Linked DNA regions of Schizosaccharomyces pombe. The protein of the gene in region 1 binds, or shares a complex with, the protein of each later gene. Each region holds a gene or a part of one and is shown in the gene's direction. Other genes may lie near its edges. The genes, in order: srb7, med20, med14 and pmc4.

Region 1 (5,660 bases):
AACGTAGACAGCGTATTGATTAATGTTTTCAAGATCCATAGTTCTGTCCATCTCACCAACTTTAAGTATGTTTTCAATGGCATCGAGAGCAACTTGAATAATTTTATTATCGGATCCGTTCAACATATCGCAAAGTGGCTTAATAACGCCTTGTGACACAAGGTAACGAATTTGGTCAGGCTGACCGAGACCGCCAGAAGTAGCATTAGAAATAGCCCAACAGGCTTCTTTTTTTGTTTTGTAGTCGGCATATGAGAGTAAATGGACCAATGGAGGTATAAGATTACTTTCAATAATTGCTTGGATTTGTTGGGTATTGCCAGCAGTAATATTGCTAATAGTCCAACAAGCTTCCTTACGAATGTTCTCTTTTTGATGACTGAGAAGACTAGGGAATGCATTGAGAGCACCGCAATCGATTATGATCTGTGTTTGCGCGTCAGTACCTGTTACTATATTCCCCACAGAGCGAAGGGCAGGAGTTTGAATATTAACGCTGGGAGAGCTCAAAAGTTCAACAAGCCTGGGCGCACATCCAACGTCTAAAATGGCGCCAATTTTTTCGTTAGGTCCATCAGAAAGATAGGAGATGGCCCAGCACGCGTCAACAATAATCTCAACGTCTTCAGAATAAAGGAGCTTAGCAAGGATTGGAACGGCTACAGAAATAGTTGACCAGTTAGGTGGTGGATTTTTGCCTCTACACAAGTTAGAAAGTGTCCATGTAGCGTTACGGAGCATAGAAACATCAGAAGCGCTACTCTGAAGAATATTAAGTAAAGGCTGTAAAACTCCGTTACCGAGTACATAGTCACGGCAGGCAGAAGAATCGCCAGCTATGTTACCGAGGGCCCATACAACCTGCTCACGGACATCTTTTTCAGGTGAAGAAAGTAATTGAATAAAACGAGGAACAGCGCCGGAATCAACAACAATACGGGTTTGATCTGTGGTACCACTAGCGATATTTGTTAAGGCCCAAGCCGCTTCAAATTGAAGCAAGTGATGTTCACTTTCTAAAAATTGTACGAACCGGTCAACAACACCACAAGCAATTACCTGATCAATAGGGGGATGCGTCTCCTTAGAAAGATATTTCCTGAATTTCGTGACGGCACCTAATTGTAGCTCAATGTCGTCTGACATCACATCAGCTGTCAATTTAGGAAATTCATCTTTCATTTGTTGCTCCATTTGAACCTGAGACTGATCAGCCTCCTCTTCCACATCAATGTCATTTTGTAAAACAGCGTTTAAATTCCTTCGTTTATTCAAACTTTCCTCACGTTTTTGTTTGCGGATTTCAATTTGCTGTTCTTCACGTTGCCGACGAAGTTCATCAGCTTTGAAAACACCTTTGCTTTTAAAACGGCTTCTTCTATCTGATAAATATCTCGATTCCATTTCTATAGGAATAAACTTTTTTGATATCCTTTTTACTCTTTTTTTTTTAGTTATCTAAGACAGTTGTGGTTGCTGCGAGTTTAATGAGAATAAGGAGGTAAAAGAGCACTTGTGTCGTTCCAAGAAGCAGCCGGCACCCAGGTAACAATGTTCAAAAATAATAAATTTAGAATAATTTGAAATATATCATTTTCCGGTTCAAATCGTTGAAACTTTCTAGATCATTTTTGTTCTGTCATTGGAAACCTTCGCACCATAAAACGGGTAAAACAACATGCTTATTGAGCTCATCAACCAATTTTTCTTGGGTTTTTAACAAGCTGAATGCTATAACAAGAATTCAAAATTTAAAAACAAATGGAATTTTTCTTTAAACAACCTGTCAAGTTGGCCTATTTTTATTTTTATTTTGATTATATAATACATATAGTTGAGCAATTTAATCTTTGAATAAATACTTATTTTTCAAACACTTCCGTATCTGTTTTGTAAGCTATTAATATGTATACATTAATGGTCCATTGTCTAACTAGAATTTATTTGGTAGCTATTATTAATATATATATTTTTTATTTTTTTTGTGATAATAAAGATTAATTCGGTATTTATATAAATTTAGGAATTAACTTAACGGCGCTTGAAAACATATTATCGTCATTCAGTTAAAATGCTCTAAATCATATACACTATAGGAAGTAATCTAATTATATAACATTAACTTTATTAATTCACAAAGTAATTATGAAGACCATATAAACGAAGCTGATAAATCTCTATATCCTTGTTTTTTCCATACATTATTTCTTTCCTTCAGTTGTATGCATCATTTATTTATACTAAAAATTATTAATAGATTGACTATTTAAAACCAGAAACGAAGGAAACAGAAGAGATAAATAAAGAAAGAAAACCAACGATTTCATAAGAGCCAATGAAAACAATATTGCTGTTATAAGCAACCGAAAATATATTTAACATCTGACACATATCCAGTAAAATTATAAGAAACATTTTCTTGCATATTATTAAACCCAAATCCCAAATGACCAGAACGAAGTCTAGTGATTCAAAGCTTATGACTTTGACAAACCTTTGAATGCAACTTCATCCATTTCTTTTTTTACTTTCTTATATAATTCCATCGTTGCTTGGGCATCCTGGACGGAAGAATGCTGTCCAGATTGAATGTCACGCCCAAGAATCACTTCAGCAAGTTTTTTAAGCCCTGGTGTCCTTCCCTTGGCTAATTTCCGATACCCAGAAAATCTGCTGGTATCACGAATCATTCTTCTTGGATGCGATAAAAGTAGTACTTTGAGATCGTTATGGACAGCATGTCCAACCAATACTCGATTGTCGAGTATCTTAGCAACTTCTGCTTGTACTTTTTCAAATGAAGGTGCATCCCGCATGTGAAATGACTTGACACCACTGACCCATGTTCTCCAATCCGTAACCTTTTCTTTAGGACGGACATAAGTATCATACACGACATGACCATGATAATTAACTATACTGACGCGTGCAAGAACTGACATGTCATCTGCCACCCCAACCATTTCACAATCCATTGCAATATATTTCCCCAATGTTTCCAAATTGGTTTTTCTGGTAAGCTTGGAAGCATCCACGCCATATGCGTCAAGGACTTGAGATTCAGGGATATCATTTTCCTTAGCAAATTTCTTTAATTCATTCATGCGTTTTTTATCGACGATATAAGAATTCTCATTCTCATTGTTTTTACCTTTCACACTTTTAAGGTATTTCTTTTCATTAGAATGCTTTTTTTCAACCCGTCCACTCTTAGCGCTGTCGAGTTTCTAAACAACCAATACCGTTAGTATACTTAAACAAGAATCTTAAATGACTTAATGGAAACTATAGCCTTTCATACCTTCTTTAACTTTTCCCAATTGGAAGAAGACATTGCTTGTGCATAAGAGCCAAAGTTGGTGCAAGAAGCAATTTGCAACCTCTTTCAATATGATTCTCAACGCGGTATCACAAATATTTTATCACATTTTAGCACATTTCATTATTTTGAATAAAGCGTTGATGATAGTACGTTACGTTAAGTATCATTATATAAGTCACATGCCTTGTATTTATTTATCTATAGTATATATACATATATTGACAGTGATGCACCATTTGTTGCTTCTTGATGTAACTACTGCCAAATATACGAGACTATGAAATAAATTAACCTCCGTTCTTCGGGTCACCAATGAGCTATTTCAGTGTGTACCCACTTCGTAAGAATATTATAAGGTACCGGTGGTTAATGCATTTCCTAATAAAAGAATATTGTGAATATTCAAGACCCGTAGTAGCATATTCGTTAAACATTTAGTGATTTATGTTTGCTTAAAAGGATAGATTGTATTGAATTTGTAGCATTGTCCGCTATCTTTTTAAAAGCAGAGTACTGCAATTTTAATAACAATGCACCTTCACGTAATATGAAAACACTCAGAATGAATGGATTATCAAAAAGGTACTGAAAGGGGTGGGACTCGAACCCACGAGCTTTCGCACTAGTGCCTTAAACTAGCTCCATAACCACTCGGACACCCTTCCACGATCAAAAATATAATAAATATGTCGAATGTATTACTATTATCATTGTTTTTCTATGTTAATTAAAAATACTTAGCTGATTCTGTAGTTTCTGTAGTTTATTTTTTTTCGCTTTCCATTAATTTTTTTTTAAATTTTATGTACTGTTTTATGTTAAATTTCTTTTGCTTATGTCAAGCGTGATTCTAGCTTAATTCTTTTTCCCGATTGCTAGACAGTCGGTTTTTAGGTCGATACATTACAATTACAAACAATGTCATAAAATCAAAAGCTGTGCATAATAAATATCCGATGCTGAAATAACAGAAAAGTTAATTAGCGATTTATTGTTCTTGACATTTGCGCTTCAACAATTGTTACCTGCATCATGGACCTTCAACAACTTGCGACTTTCAACTCTTTTTAACTCATATTACACCTACATAAAAAAATGGCATGTAGGTGTACTCAGCTTCAAGATACAATTGATGAGGTAATGGGACTAGTTTTCTTTTTCTATTCTAACCTATGTAGGTTGCCACACAATTTTACTCTTCCATTCATTATTTAAGTTCTCATCATGATTTCGTTCCTTTACCTGGTCAAGAAAAGGTTTCTGATTCTAAAGGTATACAAGATTCATTATGATGCTATTCAAAGTAGCTACTAACAAATTATTAGTGAACCCAATTTCTGCTGAAGAGTTACAATGTACGATATTAGACGTCCTCTAGTCATTTTATGTGCTAACTTCTTTTTGTAGTCGCTCAAAGGGATCTAGCAAAAGACTTGGTTACAAAATTTATGCAAATAGACACTTTGATCAACCAACTTCCAGGTATTTCCACTGCACCAAAACATCAATTAGAGAAAATTAAAAAGTTACAAAACTCCATTGAAGAAAAACAATTGGAGAGGAAGAGTTTAGAATCAGAAAATGAAGATTTAAAATTACAATTGGCCAAGAGGATTGAAACATTTGGCCGGTTATCATGTGTCCTATTTCAGCCCTGATGATAATATGTAAGCAAAATATGCATACTAGCATACTCTTCTAGTTGCCAGATTTATTGAAGTTTTAAAATATCTTTGTCTGAGCTAAGAAAGAAGATGTGATCGCTGGAAGTGGGCTTATCATACGGGCAGCCTTAGATATACTGTTTTGACAAATGATTCCATTTTTATTAACGAGCTAATCTTTTTGAATCGATTTACATAAATATCTATCTACTTGTAGTTTTTAGAATGCCTTTACTTCATGCTGACGAGTACTTGACTGAAGTAACTAATTGTGAAAGCAGCTATGAAGTCTTAAAAAATAAACTAATAACAAACAGAATTTGAAAAGTAAAAAAATAGCAAATTAGCAAGGATAGTTTCTTATAGAAGAAAGAAAAAAATCCCTGATTTTTTAGAACGTTTAACGAAATTTACAAAACAATACGCTATTTTTGTTTAAGAAAAAAAAAATCCATTAACCATTCATTGCAAGTTCCTTTGCTATATACGACGGGAATTGAACATCACCATATTCACTTTAACTTAATTGTAATCATGGCTCCATTTCCTTTGAAATCGTTTATTCCCCCTCAAGTAGCGAATCCTACAGTAAGATTAATTAAAAAAGTGATAAATATAAACGAAAATCTAACTAAGATAGGCTTTGAATGCTTTTCCTAGCTCTGCTAGGATGG
Region 2 (7,607 bases), on another chromosome or scaffold:
TTAAATACTAACAACAAAGTATGTATAAATAAATGCTTAATTATAAACAAAAGGGTGTACGAGTAAGTGATAGGTTCGTAGAATTGTCAATAGCATCATTTTGGCAAATAAAATCAGTAGACGCCAAGTTGGTCTTTCATAGTACATTAATAAGGCACTTTAAAAAAGCTCAATATGAACAACCAGAACGTATTATATTCTTAAGTCGAAGAAAAGGCTTAAAAATACTAGAATTAATGTGCCAATTTTATAGTCCTATGTACAAGTAGCTTGAGAATATTTTCTGAAAACAAATTCAAGAAAAAAGGGAAGATAAGAATAAATGTAATAGCAAAACAAGAATAAAGTATACAAAGACATTATATTTATGGTCATATAGGGTGGAGAAAGTAGCTACTCATCACCAGACGCGGAAGAGGCTTCACTAGTTGTCTTGTCAGAAAAATTACCATGATCAACAGAGGCTTTCTCCTCGTGATCTGCTTCAGTTTCCTCACCAGTAGGTTCTTCTTTGACAGGAGTTTCTGTGGTAGCTGATTCGTCATCTTTTTCAATTTCCTCTTCTTTAACAGTATTCTTTTTAACTTTTTTAGCGGGAACACTTTCATTATGCTCACCTTCATTAGCTGCTCGACGAGCACGGGGGCGTTTTGTCTTTCTTTCGGCTTTAATGGGCGGAGCATCCGGTACTTTTTCAACAATGTCTTGAAGAAAATCAAACTGTTCAACACTTTGAACAGCATGCTTTAAATGAGAAACGGTAACACGCTTTGCTTGGTGCAATCGCGTCTGTTTGCACGATTCTTGAATTATACTCTGCATGAACAATTCCAACGCTTTCGACATAATAACCGGAGTAACTTGAGCGACCTTTCCAACGTCCTGGTCTGCTTGCATAATCTTTTTTATACGAGCAACAGGAAATCTGCTTTTCCAGTACGTAGCAGGATTTGGTTTAGTTTCACTATCATTATTATTTGTTGGATCACCCATTATAAGAAGCAGAATTAACAAGATAATTCGATATTAAAGTCAATAGTAAGTTGGCGTGTAAATGATTGTTTCGGAAATGAATCGCTTGAAGGAGCTGGTAAGTAAGGTAGTAACGAAAACGTATATTACTACCTCTATTGAGACTGTCTGTCAAGTTTTTAAAAAAATTTTTTTTCTAATTTGTCGAATTTGAGAAGTTAAAGTAAAAATCTTCTAGTGCCTAACAGCGGATCTTAGTATTCTTTATAACAAGGTAGTGGTGAAGGACTCGTTTAAAAGCAGAATTTTATGTAGGTCGCGGAAAGCAATAATTCGGAATCACAAGCGACTAACTTCCAGGAAATATAGCAAAGAAACTCGGTAAATATTAATTTGGTTTTCTTTTAGTCGCCATACTTGCCAAGTATTTTGCTCAATATTCCAAATGAAGGCAATTTAGAGGTTCATAATATGCATACAATCACAGTTTAAATAAGAATAAAATAACAGATTCAGATATACGTGTGTAATCAGAGCAAGCAAAACAAACCAGCAACCAAATTTTTAAATACTAGTAAAAAGTTTTTCTTTTCTTAAAGTAGTAGCGAGTAAATACATGCTTACAAATGAACTCAAAGTATTTAAAAGCTTTCATGCTTAAGATTGCTGCTAATTGATATAATATTCCAACTTGTTTTGACAACAAAGACACATAATTTGCAATGTCAGTGCTTTAATCTTTGTACGTAATAATTACTTTTACTAAGAAAATTTCAATTAATAATATGACATTAAATTTATAAAAAATTGATTTGCAATAGCACCTTTGTAGAATCCTTCGAACTAATGACTCAAAAGGACTCGCACTTTACCTTCTTCGAAGACGACACAACGATTATCACTTTCTATACAGAGCTATCCTTGCAAGATATGATTACTCTCTAATTTTACAAAACTAAACGGGATTAATATTTTTTTTTGCAAGAAACTACTTACTATGAGCTATCCTAAAGCACGCATAAGACGATTTTTTCGTCAGCATTGCCAGCGCAGCCTTGAAAGTTCCGCATTGGATTTGGTATGGAAAGTTATAAATGAAACTAGCTATTTCTCAGTCAGTATCTTTTTGGACGCGCTATTCTAATAAAGATATTCAAATTTTTTATATTGAATGTTTTCAACTAACAGAATTTTCAAGGTATATTTGGATTACTGTCTTTTCTTACAATCCTTACTAAAAGAAGCCAATATTGAAGCGGCTAAGACTGGGGAAAGAAGAGTACAGCCAGAACATGTTCGAAGTATTCAAAGAGTAAGCTAATATTGAATAAACTAGATTTATTATCTTTTCAGCAAAGGCGTAAATCGATTGCACTTTATTTTTTAAAATGGAACATACTTACTAACCATTTAGAAAATTCTAGCTCAATTTAAAGGATAAAAAGAGTCATTATGTGGGAAAGAAGACATAAAACAGAATCATTGATTCAGTTCCATAAGCGACAGAATAGTAGATACCAAAAAGTAAGATAAAGCCATATTTATAGATCGGGTCTACTATTGAGAACACGAACTATACATCCTATACCGGATATTTCCACCACCTACAAAACCGTATTAGTGACCGAATAAAAATGTAAAGCATGAGATAAGCAATGCTAGAGCGTTGGGAAAAGCAATAAACTAAAAGTTACCTTTTCGTGCCAATTAAGTAATACAGACGAGTTGTAGGCTTGAGGATTCGCCAATCCACGATAAATGAAGTTTACAATATTATCAATTTCCTCCGTTGAACATTCTTTTACAAATGCGGGAATGTCAGCAGCTCGTATATTGCTTAATACATCAACAAAAGCATTCAAATATTGAGTCTAAAAAAGTTAAAATTCATTTACACCATAATAAAATGAAATCAAGAAGAATTGTAAATTTAATCAATAAATAAAAACGTAATTGATATAAACCGTCTTTAAGCAGTTTGTACAGTTTGCACATACCCTAACTTCTTGAACATCATTTCCATAAGGAACATATGAGAGTAAGGTTTTCAAACCTTGTAAGGCATTTCCTCTATTTTAATTAATAAAAAAATTGCTTCTTTTAAATAAACATACGTTTGAATGGCAGACCGGGCTTGAGGAATGAGTTGAGAGACGGCTGCTTGGACTTGCTCCGCCGTTTCGTTACGAATTGGAAATATATCTTGCTCTGTTAAAACAGGTTCTGTGATGGAGTCGACATCCAAAGTCCGAAACGTCATTTTATAACTCTATAACTGGTAAGGTAAAGAAAACGATGGAACAGGTTAAGTTTCAGCTGTGTGTAGCTCTAAAGAGGCATCATACAACGGTCGAACGCAAGTCTGTAACTGAAGTTATTATAATTCATAGAGTATATTAATTTAACCAATAAGTTAAGAAAATTCAAAAAAATATATTTATATTTTTTTAATCTTATAACTTTAACTTATAATTTTTGAGCGGAGCTATATAAGTCTGGTAACAGCATTACTAACTTCTTCAGTACTCCATAGACCTCTTTTGTGGATGTTTATTTTTTTTTATTTGTAAATAATCATCTCTACCTTTGGTCTTAGATGTAAAGTTCTGAATAACTTGTAGACAGAAATTGGTTACATATTTTACATTTCTGCCTATGGTGATTCAGAAGAAAATATGTTAGATACAGCCTAGTAATTAGTTGAATAAAGATTAAAAGTAATTTTTTTTTTGCTTCTATCTATTTTCAGTATGTATATTGATGTATGAGTTTATACTTCTATTCGAACAATAACTTTTAAGACTTATTTTGCTGACAGAACTATGTAGTTTCTTGTGTAAAGTTCAAAGTAAAACGAAGAGACACATATGTAACATCCTGGGATTAACAGATTTTTAATTAGTGCTCAAACCAGCCAGTTACATTGTTACGTAGTATTTGACTCTCCAGAAGTTAATTATGAATGTAATTCAGTTAACTTAATTCTCTTCAAGCTTTTAACAATTTGCTCTGGGATTATCATACCCAAAAGCCATATACTTTGCGACTTGGAAAATAATAAAAATGACAAGAGATAAATTAATAAAATTTGAGCTCATATTATGTCTATCTGCTTTTTTTTTTTAATACAGGAACAATGAAAATGAAGGTTTTAAATTAGCCTGTTAGCAATTCTTGCAACCGCCGTACGCATTAAACTCTTCACATCAACATTACAGTAGAAGTAAAAGAACTAATTCGGCCATTTTTCTCAATAATTCGGTATAAACCGATATTCAGATGCATAATTAATTACCATTCATCTTTGTTATAAAATATGCCTGTTCACGGGTAAAAAGCATACCGATTGACTATTTTGCTGATTGATTATAGAGTTATTTATTATTCATCGCCTTCAATGGCGACGTTCCTTTCTCCAGCACAGGATAATCTGGTTAGGACCTACTTTGCACAACATTTAAGTAAGCTGACACTGGTTTGGATTTTATTTCTTATGATTGATGATTTCAAGATCTAACTTTGAATTTCAGAAAAATGGGTAGTTCAGTATAAACTTTACAGAAATGCTGTCACTCCAAAAACTTTAGAATTTTTGAAGCAAAACATTAATCCCAGCATGCTGGCGTGTGTGGATGAAGCGACAATGATTGATGCAGAACCTGAACTTGAGGACATCATTGTGCGAACGAAATTATGGAATTTTCGGCAGTCCTTTACTATTGAAGGTTCAATATATGAAGTAGGGAGCTTTAAAGTGGCTATTGCCAACGTTTTACAAAAGTCCGTTTGGAAGGGTATACTTTTTCATGTAACTTACGATGGTACTGAGTCCGTCGATCTCGCACGCCCTATTATTCAAGAATTCTTTCTTAAATGCTTTTTACAAAATAATAAATCGGTAACCCCTGTCTATGAAAGCTTCTTTAACCAGCCTCGTCATTCTTTGGATTCAAAACTTCTACTACAGTTGTTTAAACAACGCATTGATACCGTTTCACAACGCACATAGAATAAAAAAGTATCAATTTAAATTTTTTCTGTAAATAAATTTCTATCTAACTAACTGTCAAAGTCTTGCTTTATTGTCAGCAGAAAGTTATGGCTCCCTTTCACATTTACAGATACCAATTATGTTTAATAATAAAATAGAAATGCAGGAGTTTGAATAACAACCCATTTTAAACTCGATGCATTTCACTGTACTCCAAAAAGTAATTATTCATTCAAAATTATTCAAATAAACTCTAGATGAGATTATGGAATCAGCATTAAAAGCTTATTAATCAACCTTTACTACCAAAACATTAAACGTCTAAGTTTCCAAAATACTATGCGCGCTTATAAAAGCATTGAATATGCTTTACTCTAAGGAATCTGTAACAGCACCCTTGGAGGCAGTGCTAACGTTGCGAGCATATTTTAAAAGGGTTCCTTGTTGGTACTTCAAAGGAGGTGCCTTCCAAACACTGCGGCGTCTCGCCATCTCCTTCTCATCAACCATCAAATCTAAAGTGTTCTTTACAGCATTGATTTCAATGACATCGCCGTCCTGAACAAGAGCAATAGGGCCTCCAACTTGTGCTTCGGGATCAACGTGTCCAATCAAAAATCCGTGAGAGCCACCACTGAAACGACCGTCAGTCAAAAGTGCAACATCCTTTCCAAGACCAGCTCCCATAATAGCACTTGAAGGCTTTAACATTTCCGGCATACCAGGTCCACCTTTTGGTCCCTCAAAACGAATAATGACGACAGTCTTCTCGCCCTTCTTGAACTCACCACGCTCTAAGGCAGCAATAAAATCGTTTTCGGCATCAAAAACACGAGCTTTGCCGGTGAAGTTCAAGCCCTCTTTGCCAGTAATCTTTGCGACAGAACCTTCAGGGGCTAAAGAACCACGGAGGACACGTAAATGACCCTCGGTCTTGATGGGGTTGCTCAAAGGTCTAATGATCTTTTGACCTTCGGCAAGGTCCTTGAATCCTCGTAGGTTCTCAGCGAGAGTTTTACCAGTAACGGTAATATTAGAACCATCGATGAGACCTTCAGCATGGAGATATTTAAGTACTGAAGGAATACCTCCGATAGCGAACAAATCTTCCATAACGTACTTCCCGCTAGGCTTCATATCGGCAATAAACGGTGTACGGTTACTGACGGCTTGGAAATCATCCAAAGTTAAAGTGATACCAACAGACTTAGCAATTGCGATCAAATGAAGAACAGAGTTGGTAGAGCCACCAAGAGTCATCGTCAAGACCATAGCATTTTCAAAAGCAGAACGTGTCATGATGTCGCGAGGTTTAATGTCGTCAACCAAAAGTCGCTTTATAGCACTACCTGCAGCTTCGCATTCTGCAAACTTCTCAGGTGAGCCAGCAAGGTAAGAAGAAGAACCGGGTAATGTCATACCCATAGCTTCGGCACAGCTAGCCATTGTATTTGCAGTATACATACCACCACAAGCACCACCTCCAGGACATGCATGACGAATAATGTCATGACGGGTTGGCTCATCAATTTTTCCTGTGATAAATTCACCATAGGATTGAAAAGCAGAAACAATATCGATGGGTGCATTGTTCTGACAAGGAGAGTGACCAGCACGAATACTACCGCCGTAAACCATAATACTAGGGCGGTTGAATCTTCCCATAGCGATTAAACAACCAGGCATGTTTTTGTCACAGCCAGGAATAGAGACGTTGGCATCATACCATTGACCTTGCATGACGGTCTCAATGGAGTCTGCAATAATCTCACGAGATTGCAAACTATAACGCATACCAGTAGTACCCATAGAAATACCATCACTAACACCAATAGTATTAAACTGGAATCCGGTCAATCCAGCCTTTTTGACACCTTCTTTCACTCGTCGACCGAGATCAAGTAAATGCATATTGCAAGGATTTCCTTCATACCAACAACTAGCAATGCCGACTTGGGGTTTTTTCATGTCCTCCTCATTAAGTCCAGTAGCATATAACATAGCTTGGGAAGCACCCTGAGACTTCGGACCAGTGATTGTTTCACTATACTTGTTCAATTTCTTCTCGACTAAATTGATCGAAGAGGTTTTAAAGCCTTTTAGGCTTAATGCAGCTCTTTTGCTAGCAATACCGTTTTGACAACGGAGAAGCTTGCAGAACATCATCTTCTAAAAAAAAAATTTCGCTTTGTTTAGACTATAGAAAATTTTCTACTAAGGGTCAACTCCAGGATTTCTTCAAATTCCCCTTTTATAAATAATAATAAACAAAGGAAAATATGAAAGAACAAACTTATAACAAACTTGGTGTTAGATTTAAATGGAATATCTGCTGGTGACTTAACTTATTCACCCTTGGTTAGTGGTCCTGGTAAAGTATGCTAAACCGGAGATGCGAAATATAAAACACGGTTTATATCTCGGTAAATCAAACGAATCAAGAGAAAGCCCAATCATTTCCTAAATAAATCAATATAAAAGTGACATGATTGGATATATGGTATGACACATAAAAATCTATGAATGTACAGATCATGGTGATCGTACATAGCAAAAACGTTGTTTTAACTAAGAGGCGAATTTTCAGTAAGAAAAAAGCATGACTAGTATTTTTGTCGCTTCATATTTCACTTTTGATTGACAT
Region 3 (9,707 bases), 1.9 Mb from region 1:
AAAAGAATATAGGAGCTATCACTGCTAGCGGTCAAAATACTACTTGTACAATCTTTCACAAAAGTTTCGGTTAAATATTGACGTTGCTGTTTTTGACGGGCAACTAAACGCAAGTCTTCAATTGCGCCTAGTGAATTGGGGTAATGAAGAACAATATCAAGAATGTTGTCTGATCGCAAATGAGCAAGTATTTGAGAAACAAGATGGTCTAACTGAACCAAAACCGCTGGATTCGACAATGAAAATACATGTTCAACAAGAACCCCAAATTCGGTGCGAATCCACTCCAATGCTTCATGGTAAACACTCTGCTCCCAAGACATCGCATACCGTGTTGTTAAAAGAGAGCCGACATGCAACTGCAATACATATACAAACCTTTCTTTTAACACAGAAGACAGCCCCAGCTGCTTAAATTTTTCACACAATTGAAAAAATTTCTCCATATCCAAACAAGGATTCGTTTTACTCTCTAACCATACTTTTAAAACTTGATCCAGATATTCTGTTAGAACGCTTTCAATCACCGAAATGGGCAAGTACCTTCTACAAAGGCAACGGAAGCATGTAAGGATTCGGTCGAGTTCAGGACTTAAAATAGGACTTTCTAAGACACTCTGTTCGTAAACAAGCCAAAAGTCACTTAGTTGGTCCGTTAAGTCGTGTAGACTGCATATGTTTTTTAAATCAATCTTTAAGAGATTTTGGCGAATAGTGGTATAGAAATGAATTCTCAACTTGTCAATAAAATCCAATACTGGTGTTCCCTGTGTGACTGAGCTCAATTGATCGATCAACAACGAACGGCCAGTAAAGGTGGACAGATCAGTATCATTCATTATGCTTTTAATTTTTTCTGATAAATACTTTAATCTTAAAATAAATGAATTCAAGCAACTACAAATAATCGATACCAAATCGACAAGTCCTTTCTACGTAGTCCGATAACACAAAGTAATGTTTTCAAAAGAAAAAGGAATTAAAAATTGAAGATTTCAAGACAAATGATTGAAGGAACACTCACTTTTCCTACTAGTATATCTTCTGGTGGTATTGTTTACATTTGGTAGAAGAAGACCTTGCAATTGTTAGTGTGAATGCGATGAATAGCAAACTGCCTTCCACATCACAACCACAACAAGAAACTTAAAAGGAATTCAATTTTTGAAAAGACGGTATCTAAAGAAAATCATATACCAATGAATAACATAACGAAATTAATGAAACAAAAGAATATTTTGACACCTCCTTTGCCTCTGTACCGAAGGGTGTTGAGAGCGCATCGCTATCACCTAGGAGCAGAAGAACGAGCTTTAGGAGATGAATATGTAAAGGCGGAATTTCGAAGACATCGGAACGTAACAAATCCTTTGCATTTAGTAGGATTTTTAAGCTCGTGGGAGAGGTATGCGGATGCACTAGAAAACGAGAGCTGGAAACAGGAAAAATACAGTAATACGGATCTACTAGAATCTTTAAATGACCAGCAAATCGGACAGGTAAGAAAACTTATATTAGATTGAGGTTTATTATTAAAAGAAGAGAACTTTTACCAGTGCTCTTGAACTTATTGCTTCTTTTTTTGGACCTATAGTTTCTAACTATTATTGGCAGTTGTACGAGCTCTCAAAAGCTCTTCAGGAACAGAAAAAGTCTGAGTAGTGGTCGCGGAATCTGATTCTTTATCAGACATCTCTTTGTTATTAGAAGGATTTTGATTGTTTGAGTTGTCGTCATTTTTATTGGCACTTTGAGACGACATCTGCAAATCGTTATTAACTCGAGCATGTGCAAGCTCAACCAAAAACCTATAAAGTTGTTAATGAATGATCTGGACTACTCGTAAAAAAGTGAACGAGATGTTCAACTTCCTCATGGATAAACGTACCATGTTAGCGACAGCCACAAACAGATTGCCAGGAAAAATAAGATGAGACAATGAATACTTTTTGTACCTATATAAAGTCCAAGAAAAACAGCGACAAGTGCACCACAGGCTACGTGTGCTGACTTAGCCAATACAGGTGTGACACCTGGTGTGAAAATTGATTCCCATAGTTCCACCCAATACGACATGATCTTTTTCTTATTGGAATACTACTTGGAAATGTAGTAGCTATGAATTGACGTTGTTAAACCACCGTTTGTGTTCTAGCGATAAAATCTGGCCTTTATAGTGTGCGTGTGCTATTGAATTAATTTAGCAACGAGACCGATGTTGGAGTTCATTAAAAGTTAAAATGGATTTCAAGAAATCCATATCTTATACTACTATTAAAACCGAAGGTTATGCTTCCATTTGTCCAAATTTATTGTTAATAGAGCTTTGAATCATTCAAATGGAATAGTGCTCTACTTTTGTTTTGCTATATTAAAAATTTTTTGTCAGCTTCTTGTGGTCGTGGAGAAAATAATTAAATGATCAAAACAAATGTTATTTTTCGGCTTAGCTCTTCTAAATTACTGTTTTATTATCATTTTAATGAGACACGCTGAAGCTCTGATTAAAATTGATAGCAAAGTTTGAACAGCTTTAATGATGATTTTCGTTCAGTTTAAAGAAGGGGCTTTTTAACTACTATAGAATTACGAGAATCTTTTTGAACGGTTCCATCTCATTTGTTATTCTTCATTATCCATAGTTTCAAACTATGTTTTATGCGATTATCGCATAACAGGGCATGTTTATACTAGCTCAAATTTATTCAAAATCTCCCATTTTAGTAATATCATTGATCAATTATTATTTAATTCCATTTAAAATTGCTTATTTATTGATTATTCCAATTTTTTGAATGAATAAACCTAAGGCGTTTTAACAATCTCAGTGAATGGCGTAACGAAGGTTATCGAAGAGTTTCACGGGAGCTGTGTGAAGTTGCTTTTGGCACGCTACTCGAAGATTTCTGTAAAAGAGATATAAAGAATCCTTTTTAAGGGTTTTTAAAAGAACAAAACTTATGTTTATTACGAAATTTAGTTTTGGTAAAGGATCGGCTAATTAAAGGCGCTATTACACGAAATTCCTAACTCCTCCAATTGAGGATGGAACCGCCTGCGATTCCACACATTACAGAAGGATTTTATCCTCTTCCTGAGATAGTAGAAACTTTTAGTCATCATGTGTTACAAGAATTGGTGTCTTTAGCCGAAGTTCTACCCTCTATGTCAAATGTCGAGAAAAAGAAAAAGATCTTAGATTGGTTATTACGTTCGCGCGCTTTCACTATGCGTTTGCTAGTTTTAGCGCGTTGGGTACATCTATCTCCTTCAGTTCATCGATGCATAGATGTTGTAGCCTTTCTTCAAGGTCAAAAATTTTGCTTCCAGAATTTAGTTCATGTGTTACAAGATATTCGTTACCAGTTGTCATTTGCACGTCTACGCAACTCAGATTTAGTTACTGCATTAGATATTTTGTCAACTGGCACGAGTCTTCGTCTAGCAAATGCTCCCACTTCAAAATTATACATGCTATCTGAATCACCGCTAAGTACCAAACAAATACTTCAAACCCTTCATGCTCTTAACATGCTTATTAGAATTCGTCTTAGTCTTTATGAAATTATTCCGACACCATTTCAACATTTCACAATTGCTAATGGTCGTTGCACATTTACTGTTCCCAATGAGTTTTCAGTGTCTTTGACAACCAATTCCCAAGATCCTAAATCTACCGGTATTTCATTCCAGTGGATTGTTGTTGACTTTCAATTTCATCTTCCTGATTTTTCTTCTACTCCCGCAAAATATCGGGTTTTTATAGAATTGCATCTCAATGAAGAAATCGCTGCTGCATTCGTTCTACAAAAGCCCATCCTACCTTTAATATATAATATCCTTCATAAATTTTGTTTATATCAGCGCCTTAATTTATTGTCACAACAAACTTTTCAACTATCCAGAGAAAGTTGGTTAGGGCATTTGCGCGGTGTCTATGATGAAAAGCCCCCACGGCTACGTCTATACTATTGGCCCCAATTAAATGTGAAAAAAGAAGGAAAACCCGGAAAAATTGGTCATTATATTCATATATTTGTAAATACTCAACCCATATCCGCCTTTGAGCGTACCCTTAGCTCTAAGAGATCCAGTTGTGAATATGATCATTTTTTATTACTCGTTGAATGGCACCATGATGGCATTGTTGAACATGTACCATTAGATGATCATATGGATGCTCAGCATCTACTATTATTAATTACCCAAAAACACGCTCAACTTATTCTGGAACAAATCCGTAAGGAGCTTCACCCAAATATATTTAGTGAACATGTTGGTGGTGGTCTAAAAATTCATGTCTTTGATAATGAAATAATTGTCAAGGTGAACAGCGTTACCGGCAGGCTCGTGCTGTCGAGTTCGGCTTCACCTTTATCACCTCCCAGGCATCTTCGTGCTGCTGAAAAAAATATTGCTTTGAATACGCAACCTCCCGCCCAAATCTTGAATCGGTTGTATTTCTTTTGTATACAAACGCAGCTATTAGAAGTTGCCCAGTGTGCTGAGTTGCATGCAGTTCAAGGTTACTATTCTTTCCCTTATCTTACATTCTCCAAAGGTAAATGGAGAAAAGATGGCGATTCCCTATGGGTACTCGCGTACAACGTTGAATCCAACTCTTGGTCTGTTAGATTGTTGAACGCTGCGGGTCAAACTCTCTACACCCAAGATGTTCATACTACAAAAGGTACTTTAAGTATTGAAAGTTTTAGCCGTCTTTCGTACCTATTGGAAGTCCAAATACTTTTATTCAATGTTCAAACTGCTTGCCAAGCTCGTGGTATGCCTTTTGAATATTTGCCTATTCCACCAAAAGCCCTAATTGAAGATGACTTTACTACATACGTCCAAACAGGATGCTTATGTATTATGATGCCATCGTCTAATGAAGATATGCTTCCTGTGGTTTTCGTTCGCGCGCATGACGGGCAGTTAATTTTTGACTCCCGAATAAAAGGAAAATTGCCGTATCAGTCTGAGACTGAAACTGAAAAGAACTGCTACATAGATTGGAGAACCGGTCGTATTACCATTCGTGTGCAAAATTTTTCATCTTTCGAAAAAACATGGATTGGATTACTTAAACTTGTTGCTTTGTCTAAAACATCTGCATTCAATGTAGATTGTATCACGTTAAAGCATGTGGACTTTACATATCTCGATGATGAGAAATTTAGGGCTACAATTCATGACGACAACACTTTTACCCTTCATTTTTTTAATCGACATAGTCCGTTTCATCTAATTTCTCAGTTTTTGCAGGATACATTTTCTGATGGGCCCTCAGCTATTCAACCATTACGCGTAATTATGGATAGAACGAGAGGTGTTTTAGTAGCTCAAGAATTGGGCTACGTTGTTTTGGCTCGATCTCTGCGTCAGTACAGAATTATCCTATCCAAAAATCATGGCATTCAAGTTCTTTTAAATCGCCATGGATGTATACTCCAAGATTTATCCTACTTATCTGCCGATTCCCGATACTTGGAAGGAACTCAGACTTTGACGTCTCAATGGGAACCTTGTTCATGGCTTAATACTGTTTGGGAAGGTGACTTGGGTGATGATGAGCTTAATGGTCAGATTGAGGCCGCTCCCGAGATGCACTTAATAAAGATGAACAAAACGGCTGATTTAACAGCCATTCTAAAAAGAATTTTAGCGATCTCTCGAAAAAAATGAACTCATATTAAGCTTTTAATCCTCACCCCCTCCACCGTCCATTCCTTTCGGTGGCAGTGATTAGTGATTGTATATATAAATACGGCAAAAAATGTCTGGTTAATGAGGTAAATGAAAATCGTTTTCTAAAGTATACAAGTGAATGTTACATTGATGATACATGTGATTTATATAATCCAACGTGTAAATTAGAGATCGTCGAATTAACGCTTAATCATTTATGAATAAGCAAAAAACTTCCGTAGGTAAAATGAATTTCTATTATAATCGCCATAATCCCAAGTTTATTCAAAGCTGTGTTCTTTTAAGCTAATAAATTTTATATTGAATCTTTAAGTACCGCTGGCATCAACATACGTTGATCACCACTAGCAGTTGCAGTTCTTAAAGCTTCTCGTAAAGCCATAGTAGCGTAAGCAGAAGATGGAAGTACAAATTTTAACGTAACAGCGGTGTGCTTACCAACCTCAGAACTCACTGAAATAGAACGGTTCTCCAATCTATCCTTATCCGTCAAAATCAGTTGTTGTTCCATATTGTCATACTTTATGAAATTAAACTCCATATTTTCAGGACGCACCAAAAGTTTTCGATAATCACCAGGTAATGAAAGTTCTCTGTCTTTGCGAGACATATTTAATGGATCAAGTGATGCCTCATTCATGACAGACTTGTATATATCGAAAGTTTCATTTTTTGGGTATATTACATTACGACCAGGTAAAGGAAGTACTATGTCGTAAATACTAAAGTTATTGACTTCGTCCTCTTCAATCGGACGAGCTGATAATTTTGAGCTCACAGGTAAATCTTCTAGAAGATCAGGTGCCTCTGGGTCAACAATAGGGCTTTTTTGACTTAAACCATTAGACTCAGTAGAGTAAACCAAATCTCCCACAACAGGACGATCGCCCAAATTCTTTATCCGCCAAGAAGCAACTCTGTTCCAAACGTAAGATTGATATGCATGAGGGTAAATACTTCTCAAGTGACGGGGAATTCTCTGGAACGCTCCTAAATAATCAGTTTGATTACCAGATCGAGACCATGTTTCCAAAATGCTGGATTCAGCTATCATCCTTCGAGGAAGAATGCGAAGAGAAGCTTCAGCATCATGAGTGGAATGCCATAAATCAATTGCTTCTTTGACAGAACCGGTATGCTCGGGCCTTGGTGATAAAATTAGGTCGACAGCGCCTTTCCAGTCTGATTGTAAAAGACGAACTCCAATGGTATGTGTCCCGACAGAACTGGTACCGAATCTTTGTAAACCAAAATAGTTAATAAACCCGTGCTCTTTTAAAGAATTCAATGCTTCAACAACCTTCTCTTTAGGCGTAATAACATTACGCACTACAATGTGAAATTCGTTTCCCTTCAAGTCTCCCAATCTTAAATTTGAATTTTTATAAGAATAATTTCCCAAAAGAAAACCATATGTGGAATTTTTAAGAGAACCAGAGTTTAATTGTGCGAGTCGAGATGCTCTAACATGATGAATAGCTACGCGTTGACAGGTTACGCCTCTTCTATCTTTGGTTCCAGCAATTGATAAAGTCCTAGTGGGGACTTTGAGGAGGCGGGCAATTTTACCAAGACAGTCCATAGAATCTCTGTTCTCCTTATACAAATGGAAATGGCAATATTCACCACCCAAAGCCTTCCAACTTAATCGGGGATCTCTTCGTGATCTAGGCTGGTTTTTTCTGGTGGTCTTTGACACTGTAAAAGTTCCATTCCCTTTTGTAGAAGACTCGAGTCCAGAAAAGTTGTTTCGTATGAATTGATGTAAGATCGTTCGCTGACCTTTATCCATAGGAGGAGTATTTTCGGGAAGAATTAATGAGATGGGATCAGTTATTTCACCAACTGATAGCTTATGAAGAGATTGAATAAATTCATTACCAATTCCCTTAGGTATGATACTTTGGAGGTCATTCGGCAATATAGGCAGTGTAGCAGGTTCTTGTTCCTTAAAAGAAGGAGCTTTCTGGTCATTACTTATATCTTGATTAGAAGAATCTTTTGCGTCTTCAGTTTCCTTGTCTCCGGTTGCCTTCGAAAGGATAGGATCGTGAGCTTCCATATCAGTTAAGTGAACTATATTTCCATCTGTATCAACTTCAAAAACAGCAAAATCCGTGAATCTTGCTTTAATAATTCCATCGATTGAAGGAAGATTTGGATTCAAAAACGCATCAATTCCTACATCTGACTCGGTCATATAAAACTTCTGACCGCTCAAATCTGAAGGAGCGTTGGCTTCATCTTCTAATCCATTTCTTTCCAAATTCCTTGAAGACTCAGATTGGTCAATCCGAATCCTTTTCCTAGGGACATCCACATGGTTTTCTTGGGACATTGCTAAAGCGAATATACAAATTTCAAAACCACTTGAATGGGATTAGCTACCGCGTTAGTATTCATAAAGCCATGTTAAGCACACTTTCTGCATCTAGTTATAAGGTGGATCGACAATGCTCAATAGTACATTATTACGAGGTGCGTATGACATTCATTAAAATTATACCACTCTCGACCATAATATATAATTTAGTATACCGAAACGAAGGATCTCGGAAAGAACTAAGAAAAGGAAAACAGACGAGGGCTACTTGAAGAAAGACGCCAAATATCAATGCCCGAGAAGGATTGGATTGGGGAATTTGGTCCCTCGAAATTCAAGAGCCCAATTGATAAATTAAATCAGCTTCTTCCTGAGAGCAATGACCCTTCTATATTGTACGAAACGTCCCAGCACCTTTTGTCTGAGTTTGATAAAACACTTAATGACTCTCTGAGAGTTTTGAACCAACAAATCAATCAAGTTTCAGAGGTCCTTCCCCGATTACCTACTATGATATCTGCGCTAGATCGTGAATCAAAACGCCTTTTTGAATCTTGCGAAAAAATGGATCCTGAACCTAGTGCTCTGATGCCCCTTCAAGAATTGGAGAAAATCCGCTCAAATATTCAACTCACAATTTCACAAATTGACAATCTTACGCCTTAAATTATTTACTTGCTGTATCCTTGTGCGCTTTGGTAAGCGTGACTACATTGAGTATATGTTTCTGGTTGTTTGGTTCTTCGAAAAACTAACATAAAAAGTTAGAATATTTCATGTAAAACAAATCTTTTTCTATGATTGTATATATGCTTGTTTTCTTCCCGTTGTATATATTCGAACGGTTCATCTATCGTTTACCATTTCTTCTGAATTACCCTACAGGTTTGATTTTTTTTTGACACTCCTCCACAGTGGTACATAAACGTATTGAACCATTATTGCTTTCGATTTGTTAGAAATAATACGGTGTTTTCTGACCTTGCATAAAAATTGATTATCTTCTATAAGCTAATTCTCGATATCTGTGTTTATTTTTCATGTGTACATTGTGAGTATAGGTATATATTTCGATAGGTTGTACACATCCTTTTTTTTTTACTTTAATCCATGAAATTACTACCACTTTTGACTTCTGCTTCTCTTGTTCGAAGTTCTGGGAATGAGAGAGCAGATGTATTTTCATATTTGTTTTATTTAATATCAAATTTTACAATTTTTTTCAATTATTAATTTACCTCAATTTATTTTAATATGAAATATAGCAAACTAATCATTTTCTCAAAGTAAATAAAAACGCTTCTGTGTTGGTCAATCTCGTTATCTTTTTGATTTTTATATACAATAACATTTGCAAAACAAAATTTGCGTATCGGTTTGCTATTATTGCGAATTTTAACGTATCCTTATCAGGGTTTTGAATACTTCGCTTTAAGGAACAAACGACCTTTACCAATTTGAAGTTGTCTTTCACCAACATGCAGTCTCCTGTGTTTGTTATGAGTAAGTTGCATTTCTGGTATTAATTTAATTAACCAAAGATACAAATGGCAACCGACAGGTTGGCCACAAGGCCCAGATGTCAAATATACAAGCTGCGAAGGCTGTCGCTGATGTACGGTTTTTTTCCATCCTCTTAAGCTTTAAACTGAGGTTTGTTATATATTACGTTGCT
Region 4 (8,081 bases), 400 kb from region 1:
GTTTTCTATGTAGGATCCTGAAGAAAACTGCTTGGACTCCTTAGTGGCAGAGCAGATGACAATGAAAAAGAAAGTCTTTTTTTTTTTTTAATTTTCTTTTCGAATCCTTTCTTTCTCATTTATTTATTTATTTTTTTGATATGTCTTGTGCCCCACTAATTGAACGGCCACAGCAGTGTGACGAGGTAAATTAGATCGAAATAGTATACATTTTAAGGACCTGCTGATGAAGTAAATAAAAAGGGTTGATATCGTTAAATTGGTAAGTCACATGTTGGTTTCCGACATTGAGTTGAGAAGAATCATGTAAACATTACCAAATTCATTACCGAAACAATATGAATTAAATAAATAAATAAATAATATTTAGAGTTCAATCCAGCCGAATTGGCATTTTTTTACTTAGCAACTAACTGTCTCAAACGCACCCTGGCAGCAAAGGCGTGAAGGTAGAGAGCGTGTACAAATGCTAATGTTTTGTCGGCTTTTTACAGCGCTTCGTTGCTATTTACAATGAATCCAGCGCGTTGTTTACGGTATAACGACGCGGTAAGCCACAATAAACGGTCGATTGCTACCTCTCGTCCAATCTACCTGGTAACCGCTACCTAAATGTAAACAAAACAGTACGCAAATCCAAGCAGTAAACAATAAAACCAGCCATTAGGTTAGCCAATTAAGGAGTCAAAAAGTGTCCATATTTGTCGATCATTGTTTACTTGGTAGTGATTGGTTGTCAAATTTTCTTTATCGTAGCATACTCTAGAGCGCTCCGTGAGTTGAGAAATTGGTATAAAAGATACTCATGCCCAGTTCCTTTGTTCCATTGTTTAATTCAAAGACGAAAGCTCTAATTTAGATATCCTTTCTTTTCTTTCTTTACCTTTTTCTTTCTTTTTATTTTTAGAAGTCGCTTGCATTTTCTATTTTACACACTTTCCTTTACATACAGCCCGATTATCTGTTTTCTTCGTTAACATTGTTATCGTGAGTTTCAGTTTTTCTTCCTTTTTTTTTTTTTGCTGTCTGTATCGATATCCTTTTTAAAAGGAACTTCTTTTTTTTGAATCGGCCAATCACTCTGTCCAATTGTACATTGCTATTTTGTGTGGAACTGTTTTTGTACTTCCTTTGTTCTTACATTGCGCGGTCCATAAAGGTGCTCATATATATACCCCTTTTCTTTATACCTATTCTCTCTTCTGCTTTGAAGAACACATAAATATATACACACTCACTTGCTTTTCTCTTAGAATTTGAGACGTGCTTTTGAATTGAACTAAACTGGTTTCTTAACAGTTTTTCGTTCTCTTATTCGTTCTTTATATCTATATTCTATCTCTTTATAATATCATTAAAATGCTCTCTTTTACATCGGTTTTTTCTTTTTTCTTGCATGCATTGCTTCTCAAGACAGCATTTTCCTATGTAATCAAGCGAAATAACCCCGTTTTTGACTATACCTCGGAAAAAGTCCGTGGTGTAAACATTGGTGGCTGGTTGGTGCTGGAAAATTGGATCACTCCACAATTGTTTACTCAATTTAGCAGTATGTCGAATCCTCCCACTGATGAATGGGGCTTTTGTGAGGTTCTTGGTGCAGATGAAGCTGCCTCTCAATTAGCTGCTCATTATAGCTCATTCTACACTGAATCTGATTTCGCTACTATAGCTTCTTGGGGTGTTAATGTTTTGCGTATTCCTATTGGGTATTGGGCCTTTAATGTGGTAGACGGCGAACCATATGTTCAAGGGCAAGAGTACTGGCTCGATCAAGCTCTTACTTGGGCTGAACAATATGGCCTTAAGGTTTGGATTGACTTGCATGGTGTTCCAGGCAGCCAAAATGGATTTGAAAACTCTGGTAAGACTGGTTCCATTGGATGGCAGCAAAATGACACTGTAACTCGTACTCTTGACATTATTACCTATGTTGCTAATAAGTATACCCAATCTCAATATGCCAGCGTGGTTATTGGAATTGAGACGGTAAATGAGCCTTTGGGCTATGGTCTGGATATGGATCAACTTAAGCAATACGATTTAGATGCCTATAATATCGTCAATCCTCTTTCCAGCTCTGTTGCTACTATCATTCACGATGCCTATGTTGATCTTTCTATTTGGGATTATGGTGTTGTATCTCCTTCTTCATACAATCTTGTTATGGATGTCCATCGTTATCAACTTTACGAGTCGGATGAGTGCTCAAAGACTCTCGATGATCATCTTTCAGATGTTTGCTCCATTGGTGATTCCATTGCTTCCTCTCCCTACATTACTGTTACTGGCGAATGGTCCGGAACTTTAGCAGACTGCACGATTTTCGAAGAAGGAGTTGACTCTTCGACATTTATTGGACCAAACAGCGGTGATATTTCCACTTGGACGGATGAATATAAGGGAGCTGTTCGTCTGTTTATCGAAACTCAGTTAGATCAATTTGAACGCGGTGCTGGTTGGATTTACTGGACTGCTAAAACTGGTGGACCAAGTCCTACTTGGGATATGGGATTACTTATTGAATACGGCGTATTCCCTCAACCTTTCACTGATAGACAATATAGCTCTTACTGCGGTTAAGCAAAGCCATATCAAAGTTAAAAAAAAATTTTATCTATTCTAGCTGTATAACACTAATTTATATCTCACACATCGTTGTCATGTCCTGTCCTTGCATTTATCATCTACTATCATTTAACGTGCTGCTATCTACTATCCATTCAGTCTTTGTTTGTTTGGCATTATCTTTAGACATTAGTTTTTAATATATATTGTTGTTTTCGAAATCTTTTAGTTATGTGATATTAATATTTTGGTAGCAAGTTCCTACTAAATTAATATTTAGCTTAATAGTTTACGTTCAATATTGCATATTTTTTCGAACTCTATATTAACAGTAGCTGTACTTTGGAGAAAGTTGACCGAGAAATCTTTTTAAAGTTGTCCAATTGAATTTTCAATTATCAAGTATCTTCAGTTTACTTATATGAAATGTATTTTCTGCTCTACTCTTATAAGTCAGTATTGAGCCACATAGACGGACCACTTTGAGTTAGTCTCGGAAAAGCAAATCGACAGAATAGGTTTTCACTCAGCCACAGGTGACATATGTTTAAAATACTTTTATAAAAATTACATTTAAATTGAGCGATTTCTTGGTAAAGTAATATTACACATTTTCTGATCTGATATAGGCTTTATACGCATTAAACGAAATAAGCTCATTAAGCATTCTTTAACGAACTCGCTTTTTTAATTTAATGAGATATCTAATTCACTAGTATGTATTCATTATGTTGTCCCTAACAAGATCAAAATTGTTACACTGTAAATGTAACGTAGTTTGTCGACTAATTTATACGAATAATAGCTTTCTTCTTGCCCAAATTAGTGAAATTTGTTAGACAATTTAAACAATTAAAATCATATACAGAATTAAATTGACTAATTCTATTTAATCGAGAGTAACTTAAGTATTGTTCGTCGAGCGTATATACCAGCTGCTACTTATTGCCCTTGTGGAGGAGGACATTACTGTAATTTACCGTGTTTTAGCACATTAAACCTTTTAAGGATGTCTGTTTAACTAACGGTTACGGATGTTTAAGGAGTAAAAAGTCGAGTCTGCAAAATAACTGTAACCTGACCTACTAGATGATCGAGCAATTGTTGAGTAGTTAGTATATAGTAATCACATATGCTCCCCAATGGAATATCAAAGAGCCATTGATTCTATTGAAGAATGTCTCAATAAACAGTTAAGACTGTCATCCGAAAAGGTTGACCAATATGTACTAATAGAAAACTGGACCTCATTAGTAGGCCACTTGAAAACCTTACACTCTTTAATATCAAATTACACAAATGGTAGAGAATTACAAAATGAAATTAGTTCTTTGCTGAAGCAGGATAAGGAACTGGATTTACAAATTCAAGACTGCATGAGAGAAATGACCTCAATTTATGATACCCATCTTCCAAAAACAGTGTCGGGGAGAAAACGACAAAAAGTTAATGCTGAAACACTCCTTGATTATGGTAGAAAACTTTCCAAGTTTTCCTCTGCACCTCCTGGGTACAATCCCGAGACGGGTCAAGATGCAAAAGCTCCTGTGCATTATCCTTGGCCATCGGAGGACCAGATGCGAAAAACTCTGTTGTTTCAGTTTTCAACTAGCATGGTTCCAAATTTATCGGCTACAGCGTCCCAATTATTTTCTGAACAGCCTCCAAAGACGAACGAGCCAACGGAAACAGAAACAGAAATTGATGCGAACAAAGCCGTTGAAGAAAAAACTAAAATGAATTATCCTGCCTCTCCAACATTCACTACGCAAGAGGAAAATAAAGAAGTAGAATCGCCAGCTAATAAGGATGTCTTTGCAGGATTTGATCTTTTTGATCCAGAAATGGAAGAAGATTTTTGATTCTAAATTGTGTTATTTGTCAAGTGATATCTGGTATTTTACTTTTCTAATTATAGAGTTTTTTGCTTTGACCAAATACCCTTTTGTTTTAAAAATGAATAAAATTACGCTTTGCCGTTTAGACTGTATTTATTTAGCTTTCAGACTTCGCAAAGCAAGATGATTGAACACTGTTCCTTGCTTAACATTTGTCAATTCAAATTTAATTAATTTTAAGTATAATTTTCGAACAATCTACGTTTTCTGAGTTCATTTAATTATGCGTTAGCATGAAAAAATTCCTTTTCTGCGTGATCATTCCTTGCTATGGGCATAAGGCTCTCTATTACAGAAAAACCGAACGATGGGTCTTTTTTAAGGACTAAAGTTGATGATGCATGAATGATATAACCTTTAATATATCCTTGGTCAATTAGAGAAACACAGATACATTCGACATCGTCCATGTCATATGAGTTATCATTTGTACTTAAACGGGCCGCGGTTAACAAGTAAGAACCAGATACGTGCGGGGTTTTTTGGCTTTGCTCAAAAGTAAAAAGAAACCTTTTTAAATTAGTCGAATATTTTAAAAAATCTCAAACGTACACCTTTCTAAATAAATTCCTCCACAGGATGATTTCACATCTATCCAATAAAGTTAGATATATTCCTCGTTTGATAAACCATTTCCTCCTGGAATTGTCCTCCAAAGATAATCTGAACGACTTGATATCACCACTTTTCAAAGCTTTTATTAAAGGTTCGAATGCTGCAGTCAATTTGTATTTTTCTAATAGCCCTTTTGTTGGCGATTTTCCTAATATAAGTAAACACGTTGTAAGATAGATTAGAGAAAGCCTTTTTTGATTAGTAAATATAAACGAATCCTATTTTTGAGTAAAATAAAACATACCTTTTTTGATGATAACACTCATCAGGGCACTGAAGAAACGAAAAAAGTAGATGGTCCTTTGCCTGATGAATTTTGCGTTGATAAAGATGACACCTTCCTAAATAATAACGAAACGTTACTAATTCCGCCATTGTAGCGCGAGAAATATCGGCACCCGAAGAGATGACATTAGCTTGAATAGTTTGGCAAAGACGAATTTGCTTTAAGCGAAAATATAGTAAACAAAGTAAATTGGCAATACAGAATATCGCATCCTTCTTCGAAGGGTTAATGTTTTGTTGACGATCACTCAGTATACTATTGAACGTTCGTAAGACGTTCCTAGATGCATCGCTCACGTATTTCCTCTGTATGAACCCATTACCATCAAAAGAATCTTCTAAAGTAGGTGTAGATGTATCTAGCTGAAGGGAGAGCTTTACATAAAGCTTTGAAACGCGTTTTACAATTGTACACAACCATGCTCCATCGATATGGGAGAAGCAAGTTGTCAAGTTACTAGAAAAACAAAAGTGAGAAATAATAAACAAAAAGTTTTTAATTACCTATACAAGTTTTGTAACAATTCCCATTTTCGTTGATCAGGAGAAGATGCAGCATTTTCAACGTACTCAAAATAGGTAGTTACCAATTCCTTCCAACCTCTTATTCTTCCAAATTCTTTTTGAATGGTTCCGTTTAACTTATTTTTCCCCTTTCTATCCTTTATCACGGTTAGTTAATGTTATAACCTGAAGACAATTACTTGTAGTGCAAGCCTGCGACATACCAAAAAAAGAGTTTTACTGAGCTGTTGAAACGAGGGCTCTGATGGATCTAAAATAATACATTTCTCCAACGTATTGGAGTTTTTCTCTCCAACAGCGTTACTCAAAGTTTGCAGAAAGTCATTTAAGGACATTCCAACCTGTTCCTTCGCAACTTTTAGTACTAAACTTTCAATTATTATGTAACGATAAATAAGTTATAACAAGAAAACTCAACAGATATGTTTTCGCTTACATCGATGTTCTCCAACTCTCACGTTCTGAACCTCATATACGAATAACGAAAGTTAGCAGGTCGTAAACCGGTATACGAGGATTGTTAATAGCACAATAAAGAGACATACTAAGAGTACAGCAGCATTCCTCAAATTAAATGCTACCAGCATCAATCCCCAAAACCGTAGCACTTTATATTGATTTAGTCTTAATCATCTCGGTTTGAAAAGATTCTGTTTCGAGTCTTTGCCAAGAATTAGGGAAATAGTAAAATATGCTTTTACCTAGTATTCCCTCGTGTTCATTTAGCTTTGTTGTTTTCGTTTCCGTTCTTCTCCAAACCTGTTTTAGTTTTCAATTAACTCCCTTAAGTCCGAAAAACTATCCTCCCGGTGCTTCAATTGATACAACTGTCAATACCATTTCACCATTTATTGGAGATGGACGGGGTTCTGACATCTTTAATTATGAATGTACGTGGTTGATAGCTCACATGAAGGTTCATGTGTTTTTTTAAAAACTTTACAATTTTAAATTAGGAAAACACTATAGAAATATGATTTAATGAAGGATATAACATTTTCTCTCGAACTTTTTTGCTTGTTACTAACTTCACTTTAGACTACGATGAGCGTTTCCACTTCTGTCGACCAGAGAATATCGCAAAACAATCTGAGTCACTTGGAAGTGTGCTTTTTGGCGACCGTCTCTACAACTCTCCCATTGAAATAAAAATGCTTGAAAACCAGGATTGTGTTCCCTTGTGTGCCTCGATAATTCCCAGTTCAGATGTCAGTTTTATTAGAGATTTAATCTCCAAAAACTACGTTGTTAACTGGAACATAGATAATCTGCCCGTAGCAACATATTTAGAAGGGACTAACTCAAAGAACTACTCATTATCGCCAGGCTTTCCATTAGGCAAGAATACGGAGAAGGGAGTAATTCTATTCAATCATTATGATATAGTTATAGAATATCATACGACATCTAGTGACCAACACCGTGTTGTGGGTGCTTATGTAAAACCTGTCTCAAAGGAGTCTACTTTAGTTGATGGAAACCCAGTTTGTTCTTCGTCTTCAAATCCACAGTATTTACCGGAAGGAGCTGATCTTACTCTCGTGACCTCTTACTCAGTCTCTTGGAAATATTCCGATACTCCATGGGCTACCCGATGGGACAAATATATGCACATTGAATCTAGGCAAATTCGATGGATCTTTATTATCCATTCCGCAATTATTGACACATTTCTAATTTTTGTGGTTTCTATTATTTTGTACAGAACGCTAAATCGTGACATTAATAAATATAATAGCGCCTTTGTCGATCAAGAAGATGTTCAAGAAGATTTTGGTTGGAAGCTAGTTCATGGTGATGTATTTCGTCCACCTCGTAGACCCATGCTATTTTCTATCCTTTTAGGGACTGGTGCACAACTTCTTTTTATGAGCTCTGGTATCGTTTTATTTGCAATTTTTGGCATTGTTGCACCCTCTCGTCGTGGAAGTTTAGCTACAGCAACGGTGGCCTTATTCATTATATCAGGTTTCGTTTCTGGTTATGTATCTGCATTATCCTACAAACTGATGCAAGGTATGCTTAGAAAGCGAAATCTTCTGTTAACTCCTTTTGTCGTACCTGGTTTTATGCTTGCGGCAGCTCTTTTCTTTAACATGGTATTTTGGAGTAAAAGTTCATCATCAACTGTACCCTTTTCAAGCTGGCTTCTACTCATTTTCCTGTATCTATTGTTTACTGTACCATTAA

Evidence for each region.
Region 2: srb7 (region 1) and med20 share a complex: the UniProt entries of both Schizosaccharomyces pombe proteins name them as parts of the mediator complex.
Region 3: srb7 (region 1) and med14 share a complex: the UniProt entries of both Schizosaccharomyces pombe proteins name them as parts of the mediator complex.
Region 4: srb7 (region 1) and pmc4 share a complex: the UniProt entries of both Schizosaccharomyces pombe proteins name them as parts of the mediator complex.

What each region holds. Positions count from the first base shown.
Region 1 is NC_003423.3:3,912,370-3,918,029, reverse strand, and holds srb7 (mediator complex subunit Med21), read left to right. Parts: upstream 1-4,391; 5' UTR 4,392-4,417; coding exon 4,418-4,459; intron 4,460-4,500; coding exon 4,501-4,594; exon of another isoform or gene 4,595-4,647; coding exon 4,648-4,677; exon of another isoform or gene 4,678-4,725; intron 4,726-4,729; coding exon 4,730-4,980; 3' UTR 4,981-5,160; downstream 5,161-5,660. Other genes in the region: importin alpha family nuclear import signal receptor adaptor Imp1, read right to left, coding at 1-1,404; exoribonuclease Rex4, read right to left, coding at 2,478-3,227, 3,302-3,334; atp17 (F0-ATPase subunit F), read left to right, coding at 5,521-5,574, 5,627-5,660. UniProt on the Schizosaccharomyces pombe protein: Component of the Mediator complex, a coactivator involved in the regulated transcription of nearly all RNA polymerase II-dependent genes.
Region 2 is NC_003424.3:2,346,039-2,353,645, forward strand, and holds med20 (mediator complex subunit Med20), read left to right. Parts: upstream 1-4,154; 5' UTR 4,155-4,288; coding exon 4,289-4,302; intron 4,303-4,344; coding exon 4,345-4,433; intron 4,434-4,502; coding exon 4,503-4,981; 3' UTR 4,982-5,206; downstream 5,207-7,607. Other genes in the region: negative cofactor 2 complex subunit Bur6, read right to left, coding at 394-993; CENP-W family protein Wip1, read left to right, coding at 1,970-2,050, 2,171-2,284, 2,387-2,413; ARP2/3 actin-organizing complex subunit Arc5, read right to left, coding at 2,514-2,576, 2,667-2,843, 2,970-3,042, 3,087-3,232; ilv3 (dihydroxy-acid dehydratase), read right to left, coding at 5,333-7,129. UniProt on the Schizosaccharomyces pombe protein: Component of the Mediator complex, a coactivator involved in the regulated transcription of nearly all RNA polymerase II-dependent genes.
Region 3 is NC_003423.3:1,992,267-2,001,973, reverse strand, and holds med14 (mediator complex subunit Med14), read left to right. Parts: upstream 1-2,880; 5' UTR 2,881-3,045; coding exon 3,046-5,685; 3' UTR 5,686-5,968; downstream 5,969-9,707. Other genes in the region: anaphase-promoting complex cullin family subunit Apc2, read right to left, coding at 1-839; sdh7 (ACN9 family protein), read left to right, coding at 1,200-1,499, 1,615-1,662; V-ATPase assembly factor Pkr1, read right to left, coding at 1,598-1,808, 1,889-2,076; pus7 (pseudouridine synthase), read right to left, coding at 6,005-8,047; SPOM_SPBC1A4.11C (uncharacterized protein), read left to right, coding at 8,324-8,698; chaperonin-containing T-complex gamma subunit Cct3, read left to right, coding at 9,511-9,535, 9,574-9,647. UniProt on the Schizosaccharomyces pombe protein: Component of the Mediator complex, a coactivator involved in the regulated transcription of nearly all RNA polymerase II-dependent genes.
Region 4 is NC_003423.3:3,513,779-3,521,859, forward strand, and holds pmc4 (mediator complex subunit Med4), read left to right. Parts: upstream 1-3,682; 5' UTR 3,683-3,710; coding exon 3,711-4,430; 3' UTR 4,431-4,687; coding exon of another isoform or gene 4,688-4,976; 3' UTR 4,977-5,018; coding exon of another isoform or gene 5,019-5,270; 3' UTR 5,271-5,311; downstream 5,312-8,081. Other genes in the region: cell wall glucan 1,6-beta-glucosidase Exg1, read left to right, coding at 1,360-2,583; TREX/TREX2 complex subunit Pci2, read right to left, coding at 4,688-4,976, 5,019-5,270, 5,326-5,823, 5,871-6,028, 6,095-6,226; EMP70 family endosomal transport protein Emp70, read left to right, coding at 6,583-6,781, 6,930-8,081. UniProt on the Schizosaccharomyces pombe protein: Component of the Mediator complex, a coactivator involved in the regulated transcription of nearly all RNA polymerase II-dependent genes.